Linked DNA regions of Drosophila melanogaster. The protein of the gene in region 1 purifies or fractionates together with the protein of each later gene. This does not show direct contact. Each region holds a gene or a part of one and is shown on either strand. Other genes may lie near its edges.

Region 1 (4,893 bases):
ATTTCTTTGAGCGCAGCTTTTTTAAGCTGCTGCGCGGGCGTCGACGCCGACAGCGCTACACTGCAAGAAAATATTAGTAATAGATCGGTCAAAACACTTTTCCAAATCTTACGTTTGCTCTCAAGGCATTGTAATGTGCCAATTGAGTTAGAAATCAGTTAGAAATTATATGCATATTAGCAAAAATGTAGTTTCATAAATGAATTTAAATTCTACATTCCAGTAAAAATATGCTTACTGACTTTAGTTAATCATAACACATATGTATTTCTCACCGTGTAACAGCATTATTGTTGTTCTTGTTTTTCGTGTAATTATGATCTTGTGCTGACTTTTTTATATGTACATGCATGTGTACATATATTTGCTCAAATCAAGTAATCAGTTATATTTAAGCATCAAAATCAAGTTTTGGCAATTGCTAATGCAAGGCGGTGGTAAAAAACGACCAAAGATTTATACGAATGTGTGCCGTGAACATTGACGATTTTATTAGAAAGTAGCAATTGGCAAAACAAACAGATATGCAAAATGGCAAAATGCAAAAAAAAAGAGTGGATCCATAAATTGAAAGTTTAATCTTTTCTTGACACCTTTCTACTTCCCCAGTCGGGAATTTTAATTGCCTCGCAAAAAATAATGACAGGTGTCTGGTGAATTATCTTCTTCAGCGCTAATAGCATTTATTTTATTTGTAGTAAAATTACCTAAATTAGCTTTTTATGTACATTTACAAATTTTAAGTTCTGCATCTGCATGGTGAGATCATTTCAGTTGCCGTGTAAGCTTCTTAAAAAAAACTGTGTATATATGAATGTATATATTCTTTCATATATGTATATGTATATAAATTTATAATCACATAAATATTTATGTACTTATGTAAATATTACATAAATGTATGTACATAAGTATGTTCCTCACTGCTTTGTAATCTCTAAAAATTGTAGAACCTACATTGTAAATTATGTATGACCTTGACATTTCATAATTTTTTAGAAACATTTCCACTTGGTTTATAAGAATTCGTTAAAAATTATGTTATGTATGTACATACACACATTTCTATGTACATATGTACATAGTACATCATGTGGCTTAAATCTCGTATTATGCCATGCTCTCATTATGCTTATTATAACTCTTATACATACAAAAAGTATTATAAAAGTGTTTCCCACAAATTCCACGTTTTATTTGACGATCTAAATACATAGCTTTTTACATAGAACTCCATGTGCCATATTTCCTTATGTGCTAAGCAAAAAAAAAACACATTTTCTTTGCCTTTTCATTTAGCGCGACTTCCTTTTGCCACAACCCCTTCTTCTTCTTTCTTTTCTTCCCCTCAATTCCCGCGCAAAACGCTTTTTTCCAACGAGACAGTTGCAAAAAGCAATCAACTGTATCGTGGAGTGTCCCCATCTCGCTCGCACTCACTTGTTCTAGCGCACGAACGATCTTCGGTTTTTCGAATGCAGCAGAAAGAACAACAAAAGCAAAAACTTCGTGCTCACACACACACGCAAAGCCTATTTCTTTTTTCGACTTTTATTCGAACTTTTTTGCAGCGATTTTTCAGTAACAAACGGCAACTCTCAGGAATAAAATCGTCGTCGCTCCGCTCGTTAAATTCTCGTTGCTTTTCCACCCACATAAAAAATCAGGATAAATTGTTAGTAGTCTAAAAAACAGTGCGGATTGCATAAATTCAAGCGGAGCACCGATTGGAAAAACACCCACGGAAAAAACTATGTGATGTTAAATACGTTTTTGTGTCGAGTGCATAATTTGTTGTAATTAAAGTTCAACTGCAAATGCAAAAAGACGAAATATATAATAATTTATAGGTGTTTGTGAGTGTTTGCGCCCCCTCTCCTGTGCAACGTGTGGGAAAGAGAGAGAGGGAGTGAGAAAGAGGGAACGTGACCGAGTTGCCATGAAAACTCCAATGGAAATTCAGGTGAGCGATTGTCAATCGACGTGATGTTATGCGGGGACCATCATCTCTATACGTTCACCTTTCATATGCACACTGTAGCCGTCGAAAAGATCTGTAGAATTTATGATTTTGCCACAGAAACGACACTCCTCGCATCAATTAGTATTGGTTAGAACATTTGGCATGCGTGTAGAATTTCGCACAGAAATGTTAATTTTCCAGCTGAAAACCCGATGAAACCGTTAAAAATTAAGGTACATATTTAGGTACACATAATTTGTACACCGAAATTAGAGAGAAAACGCGCGGCGATGAAGTCATGCTGGAAGCCAAAAATAAATCAACGCCGATCATAAAAACGTTTGGAGAGTGCACAAAATATAATTTGCGCTTTTTAGTGGGAAATGCATTGCACACACAAGCCGAGACCATCTTTCATCTCCCTCGCACACCCTTAAACAACTGCAACGAGAGATGGAGAGAGGTGTCGGAGTGGGGGAGAGAGAGAGCTTGCTCGGCAACGGTAATTTTACCATTTCGAACATTATGGCTTCGCTTTGCTGCGAAAAAAACAAGCAAAGCTAAAGCAACAACAAAATCTCGCCCCATGGTGGAAAACAAAAACAATACCAATGCGAATGATATTTTCGAACTCCGCCAAATATGTGCAAGCAGAGTTGTCAGCCTCGTTCGTTGTCACTTACAGTATATGAGGTTCTATTGAACAACTTTATTAATTAGTACGTACGACTCACATCTCACTGTCTATGCCAAATACTATTTACCACGTAGAGACCCTAAACAATTTTTGTGATATTCATATTCAATACTTTCTCCAATTATATTTAACATTGTCTTGAGATTAGCAAAAACGTTATCGTGTTTTTATAGACAGGCTTTTCAAGTAGTGTAGTTAGTAAATTTGACGTCCGTTGGAAACGTATTTCCTTCTTCCTTGATGTGGAACTTAAATTAGGTGGCAACCAGATAATGAAAAGCGTGTCCTCCTTCTGCATCATCCTAATTTGTCGATCTTTTGTCGTGAATTGGCAACTCTGTGCGCCAAGCATACAAAAAGCACACGTCTGAAGAGGGGTGGCAAACAGGCGACGTCAACTTATTTTTCGAACTCACACTCTCATTCGCACTCACACTCTTCGGGTTTCGCTTCGGCTTCGTTTCCAACTCTCTCGGCGCTCTTCGGGGTCTCTGCTTATGGGAACCTTTCGTTTTTTCGAGCACCAGCGGAAAGTCGCGTCAGTCGTCAGTTTTTCTTCAGTGGCTTCGCGCGTCCGCAATTTTCAGTGTGTGGTGCGTTGTTGCTGCTGCCTACTCTTTTCTTTCTGCTCTCCACGGCAGCGGGAAAGGAAAATACATACACATGCATACAGGGCCCCATCACATACAGTAAAAATAAATTCAACTTTATTGCTTTTCCCCCCGTCGCGTTATCGTGTGTGTGTGTATTAGTATTATATATATTTTACTATATATATACATATATGGATTGGAAAAGCAACACCAAAATTTGATATGTGCAAAGTTTATTGACGACTACGTGCTGCCTGTGATTCTATTTCGGTGTGTATATAAAATTGATCAATAATGTTTTAAAGTACCGCTTAATAATATACAATAAGAACTTGCATTTGAACTGTACCTGGCAATTATCTGCCTGAGATTGTGTGTGTTTTTGCATATCGAATCGATACTTCCAGTGGTGTTTCTATCGATTTTTCCCTATGCTCACTTCACGGGAGAAAGCTTTTCACCAATGTACGAAAAGAGACAGGCACAGACAGAGCAGGAGAGGGAGAGCTTTCCCACAAAATGCAACGCTGAAGTAAATGACGGGCGGTTTTCATTAATTTTCACACACGCACACACTGCCAGTGGCTCACTTTCCATGCAAATGAGGTCAAGTGTTGCAGTGGGAAATGTTTTCTACAAGTACACGTGTATGTGTGCGCGAGTAGGAAAGTTATATAAGCTTTTCATTACCGATTGCGACGAGGGAAAGCTTGATAAAAAAAACTATGATTAGTAAACACGAAGATTGCCAAGAGCGAGTTCAATTAATTGCTTTCTATTATAAACTCCTACAAAAAAGCACGTTTTTCATTTCGATAGATTCCCAAAGTCTTGGTGGCCGCCATCTTGGTTTTTCCCCCACACATAAAATATTTTGTTCAATGCTAGGCTCTCTCGCTCTTTTGGCTCCCCTTTTCTTTCTCTCCCGCTCATTTTGTCATACTCCCTCGTCAGTTTTTATGTTTGTTCACGAAAAACAAAAACAACAAGCGTGAAATTTTCTCTCTGCACTTTTCACACACACTTAGAAAAGTGGGAGAACCAGACGGCTCAGCATGAGGCAAGGAGGATGATGAGGAAGGGAGAGAGAGAACAGTCGCCACATATTTTTGTTTCCACTTTGTGCTACACTTCTGCTACGCCGCTTTTGTTGTTTTCTTTTCGACACGTTTACACATTTCCATTTTTCATATTTTCGTGTCGCCTAATCTTTTTTATGGGACTGCGCGACGTTGCTAAATTTCACTTGTGACTTTTGCAAAAGTTTCATTTGTTTACATTCTACGCACATGTGCAGAATAATAACAATAATAAATGAGATATAAAAAAGCTTTTGCGCAACAAGTGTAGAAAAGCAAAAACTGTATTTTTCTCTTTGGTTTCTTGCCTTAATTCTTTGTTTACAATTTAAACTTGTACACTTCTTTCAAGTCATCAACTTTTTTTCCTTTTAAAACACCATGACCTTGCATCGAATTTCTGACCTACACACGCACGTGCAAAAAAAGTTTAATATGTGTCGCACTTTTCTATTATCCACTATTCTTAATGTTCTTGTCTTACAGTAAACAGCAAAAATATAGAAAAAATAAAACGAAGGCGGGGAAAAATAATGAGCGGCCGTTATCGCAACCTGCTCT
Region 2 (4,893 bases), on another chromosome or scaffold:
GAGGGGGCGGCAGGGGAGGCTGGCTTTTTTCTCCTTTCGTTTGTCTGATTCTGTCGGAATAATAAAAGTAATTTAATTTTAATGAAATTGTTAATACGAAAACAATTTCATTTTGCAAAAAGTTTTGCCTGGGCCAAAAGATGGGCAGAGACGGGGGTGGTGGGGTGTGGAGAGAGAGTGAAATTGCTCGTGACAATGAGTGAACGGGAAAACAACAAACAAACAAACAGGAGTGCGAGAGAAAAGAGAAGGCCAAACGAGCAAACACTACGGTACAGAAAATACAAAAATGCCGTCGCAAAGCCAAACAAAAAAGGCACTGCACAAGCGAAAGAGACAGAAGGAGGGAAAGAGAAAGATAGGGAATGCGAGAAATGAAATGCTGATGCGAAGATTTAATAAATGAAATTGGTGTGTGATTAAAAACACAAAAACCAAACGAAATCCATCTAATCAACTTTTGCTGCCGCCTCACTTTTCCTCTACTTTCTCCTCCTCCTTTTCCACCGACCCGTTTCTCCTTTTGTCCTTTCTCCCAGCTGCTATCTCTTTCCTTCCTTCCCGGCGACGTCGACTGCGAGAGCGGCAGAGGGGTGAAAAGAGGGTTGCGAAGTTGGGGAGGGGTGGCACAATACTGGGGGTGGGTGGTCTTAAGTTTGCAACGCCTTCTTGAGGGAAATTCCCGACCAAAGATCCTTGGATTTTTCTAACCTTACGAAATTGTACATAAATAACGGTTAAAATTAATAAATAATTTTTACAATATGTTACTTATTCCACTTAAACATTTATGTTTAATTAAAAAATTTTGAATTTTCAACATGTTTCAAAAAATGTCTTTTTATGTACCATAAAAGATCGGAAAATTCATTCTACCTGTTATATACTTCTTAACAAATCTAGTATACCCTCTTACGAAACGAGTTAAATAGTAAAATTTCCCAGTTTCTTATTCCCCTTTTGGGATTTTCTCTCTTCTCAGGCTCCACCCCTACATATGAGCAGAAAATGGCTCTGAAATGCCTATACATACACATATTTACATACATGACGGCCAGTTGCTATGACATTCTACATCTTACATGCATAATAAATCTGAAATGTAACGTACAACGTAAGTTAGAAATCACTAAAATGAAAAATGGCGCTGTATTAGTTCCAAAAACAAACACCATTTGTCGTAAACGGATAGGCGTTGTGTGCTGTTAGTTCCAAAAGTATACGAGAAAAGTTGAATAAATCATGGCGCAGAGTTAATCCTGCATTGGCAATTTATAATACTAGATTAATTTAAGACCGATCTTGACCAACTTCAATGATGATTTCATTCGGAATGATTATTAAAATCAAACTGATACATCATCTCTGAGAGAACTAGCAGGGAAAATATTATAAATTCTACTACTCTACTAAATCTACTCCTTTCACATAGTATATTTACGTTAACAAACAAAGTACACTTTTATTAATATGAATATTTTGTTATTTGATTAAAGTAATTAATTTGTAGAAAGGATTGAGCATAATATTGTTTTAAATTTTTTTTTTCTATCTCAACGCTAATTCATAACATTGCATCAGAAGAGAAAATAATTTTTTAAAAATTAAGAGAAAAAATGCTAATGTGCTCTTTATTTCATAATATTCGAGTAGTGGTAGCGAGTAAGTTGTTTGTTTCATTTTCAGTCTGTTGGAATTTCTCGTGCTGTGCGGTTGTCATTTGTCGCGATCGTGCTTGGAATTGACTTTAGCGGCATTTTTATAAGAATCAATGCAACGCGTGGTTTTCCTGCAAATTTTGGCACAAGTTCTTAATAAAAGAAAAAAAATATATATATATATGGCATTGGCGTTTATCAGAATAATCCACATCGCCATTTAGTTCGGTGGTTTTTCATCGACTTGTGCTTGTGTGTGCGTGCCACTTGGTTAGTTGTTGCTGCTTTCGCTAGTCGTACGATCTAGCATTTGTGCTCAATTCTGAATTCTAAAATAAAACAACAACTAGCGTTTTCCATATGTGCAACTATTTGCCTTAAAAAGCAATTAAAGCAAAGGCAGTGGTTAAAGTTGACTAAATATTAGTAAAACGTGAATTGTGAATGCAGTTTTGGTGCATTAAGCGAAGAGAGTGGAAGAGAGAGCGGCTCTCTTTTAGTTTGTGATTTCAAAGTGGAAAATTATTAATTCAAATGCAGTCTGCAATTAATTTCATGGAAAATCACTTGTTAGCTGCTCGTTCGCTCTGTCTCTTTCGCACTTCAGCTGACGAATTTTCCGTGCTAAACTTGACACTTTTCAGTCCATCATTCCAACTAATTCTTTGACTGCAGTTTTGCGTCGCATTTCCTTTCTACGCCGATCTGCCTCTTTGCCTTTCTTTTCTCTGATATATTTCAACAGAAGCTCAGTTGTTGTTGTAACTACTCCTCCTCCTTTTTGTTACTTGCTGCTTGTTTTTGTTGCTCGTCATGTACAATTTTTTCCAATTTGTGCGCCTTTTCATATTTTATTCTGCCGCGCTGTTTTTCTGTTTTCTGTTTCTGTCTCGCCGCCGCTACTATTTTTAGCAACAAGTATGGCTGATGTTGTTGTTGCTGCCGCTCAAGTTAACTACGCTACGCTGGCAGAAACAACAACAAGTCAAACTATGCGGAGCGAGAGAGAGTGAACTGAAAACAAAAAGAGTGAGCGATAAAATCCGCGAGAAAGAGTACAGTGGGGCTCGACTTAAATTATCATATTAAGCCAGATCACAAGTATTAACAAATCGAATGTTCTTAAATCCAATAAGCGTTAATCAGCAATGTTGATCAAAAGTTTTAAAATTATTTAATCGATATCAGTGAACTATTGAATACTATTGGTAAAAGCTCAGTCTTGTTTGCATCTTCAAGTGGGGGTCCCACTGTATTCGACTCAGGTGATAACAATAACAGCGACGAGTGAGAGAACTCTCTCTCACTCTCTCTCCTTCATTTCATTTCCCAATCTTTCGTGTTCGTGTTCTGTGGCTAATAGCATTTAAATTTTAATGCCCAATTTCATAGAAACGCAACGCAAGTGGAAAGACTCGAGAAAACAAAAGTGCAGGCCGTCTAAATTGATGGCGAAGTTTCGTGTGCCGCCTGCATTTCATTTATAAATATATTTTCGGCCTTAATTCTGTGCTTCCTGTGAATTAACGAGGAAACTGAAGAGTGCGCGAGCGAGACAGCCGATCACAAATCAACAAGTGGAAACGAAGAAACTTTCTTCGCAAAAGCCGGCTGATCGCAACAACAAGAAGAAAAGAGAGCGATTCTCTGCGACTGGAACCATAACATTTACATCGACCCTGGAATTTCTTCACTTTTCGTCCAACATGTAAGCTCCATTTTAATATGCAATTACTGTTCGCTGTTGTCGAACAGCAACTTATTTATTCATACTTATTGTTTATTTATGGATTTATGCCGCCTACGAACTTTGTGATTGCACAATCGTTCGGCCTTTGAATAATTTTTTTTTTCGCCAAGGCGCCCTTTTGTCTATATACCCATCTCTTTCGACTGCTCCAGTGCTGTCTTTTTCTGGTCCGTGCTTTGAATAAACAATTAAGGCTCAGGGTCTTTAAGCCCTTTTCTCCGCCTTAGAGCCGAAAGTGATTGTTGTAATTTATAATTTATATTTCCTTTCTTAATAAATAAATAAATAGTCAAGTTTATGTTTGAGTTTTATGATTTATATTTTAAGTTATTTCAACTGCAACACCAGCACCACGACCTACTCACAGCAAAAAACGTACAAGAAGGAAAGAAGGAATAAAAAGAGTGGTATTCTCTTACAATATGTTTTATGGCATAAAAGGTGTGGCCATTCATATCAAATATAAAGTAGTGTTGTTTAACGTTATTTTTGTAGGTTGAATAGTATATTCCAACACGCCCCCTCAAAAATAACGTCTATAATTAAAAACATAACAATAATATTCATTAGTAACTATCAAATGTGGGTGGTGTGCATTCTGGGAAGTGTTAACTGATCCAGCATTTGCTGCGAGGATACGGGGAAAACCCAGAAAAACCCGATCAGATCATTGTAACAAAATATGTTTACAGGAATTTAAATTTGAAAAATATATATAAAAATTTCATTCAGCATTCGATTGGTCGTCTTGCAGCAAACCCAATTTGTCTCGTAACTCCACAAATCTCGCAGCAGGCAACGGTTTTGTAAATATGTCAGCCAGTTGATTCTCTGTAGGAATATACTCAAGACAAATCACATTATTCTGAACTTGCTCTCTGGCAAAATGATATTTAATATCAATATGTTTAGCTCGTTTATGACATGAGGGATTGTTTGCTATGCTAATACAGCCTTGATTGTCTTCGTAAATTTTAATGGGGTTTTCTAGTTTAATGTTAATACTAGTTAATAAAAATTTAAGCCATAGAGCTTCTCTCACGGCTTCAAATAGGGCCATATACTCAGCTTCAGTTGATGAGGCTGCTACTGAGTTCTGTCTCTTTGTATTCCAACAAATGAGATTAAAATCAAACATTTTGAATAAATACCCTGTTGTACTTTTTCTATCAATTTCACTACCAGCCCAATCAGAATCCACATAACCAATAATTTTATTTTCAAATGCCAAGTTCTTTTTAAAAATCAATTTCATATCGATAGTGCCCTTCAAATATCTAAGAACTCTTTTTAAGTTCTGCCATAATTCGGAGTTATTTTTGCTACTATATCTGCTCAAGATATTTACTGCAGTAGTTAAATCTGGGCGTGTACAAAGCATTATGTACATTAAACATCCTATGAGGCTACGGCATGGGGTATTGCAGTCTTCATCTGAATTAAGTAATTCATAATTTATTTTACTAGGTAAAGGAGTACTAACTG

Evidence for each region.
Region 2: the proteins of lola (region 1) and for purify together in Drosophila melanogaster (affinity purification with western blotting; one study listed by BioGRID). This does not show direct contact.

What each region holds. Positions count from the first base shown.
Region 1 is NT_033778.4:10,539,975-10,544,867, reverse strand, and holds the start of lola (longitudinals lacking), read left to right. Parts: upstream 1-1,576; 5' UTR 1,577-1,963; intron 1,964-2,872; exon of another isoform or gene 2,873-3,027; intron 3,028-3,094; exon of another isoform or gene 3,095-3,523; intron 3,524-4,893. UniProt on the Drosophila melanogaster protein: Putative transcription factor required for axon growth and guidance in the central and peripheral nervous systems. Repels CNS axons away from the midline by promoting the expression of the midline repellent sli and its receptor robo.
Region 2 is NT_033779.5:3,653,743-3,658,635, reverse strand, and holds the start of for (foraging), read left to right. Parts: upstream 1-1,682; 5' UTR 1,683-1,914; exon of another isoform or gene 1,915-1,928; intron 1,929-3,050; 5' UTR 3,051-3,366; intron 3,367-4,893.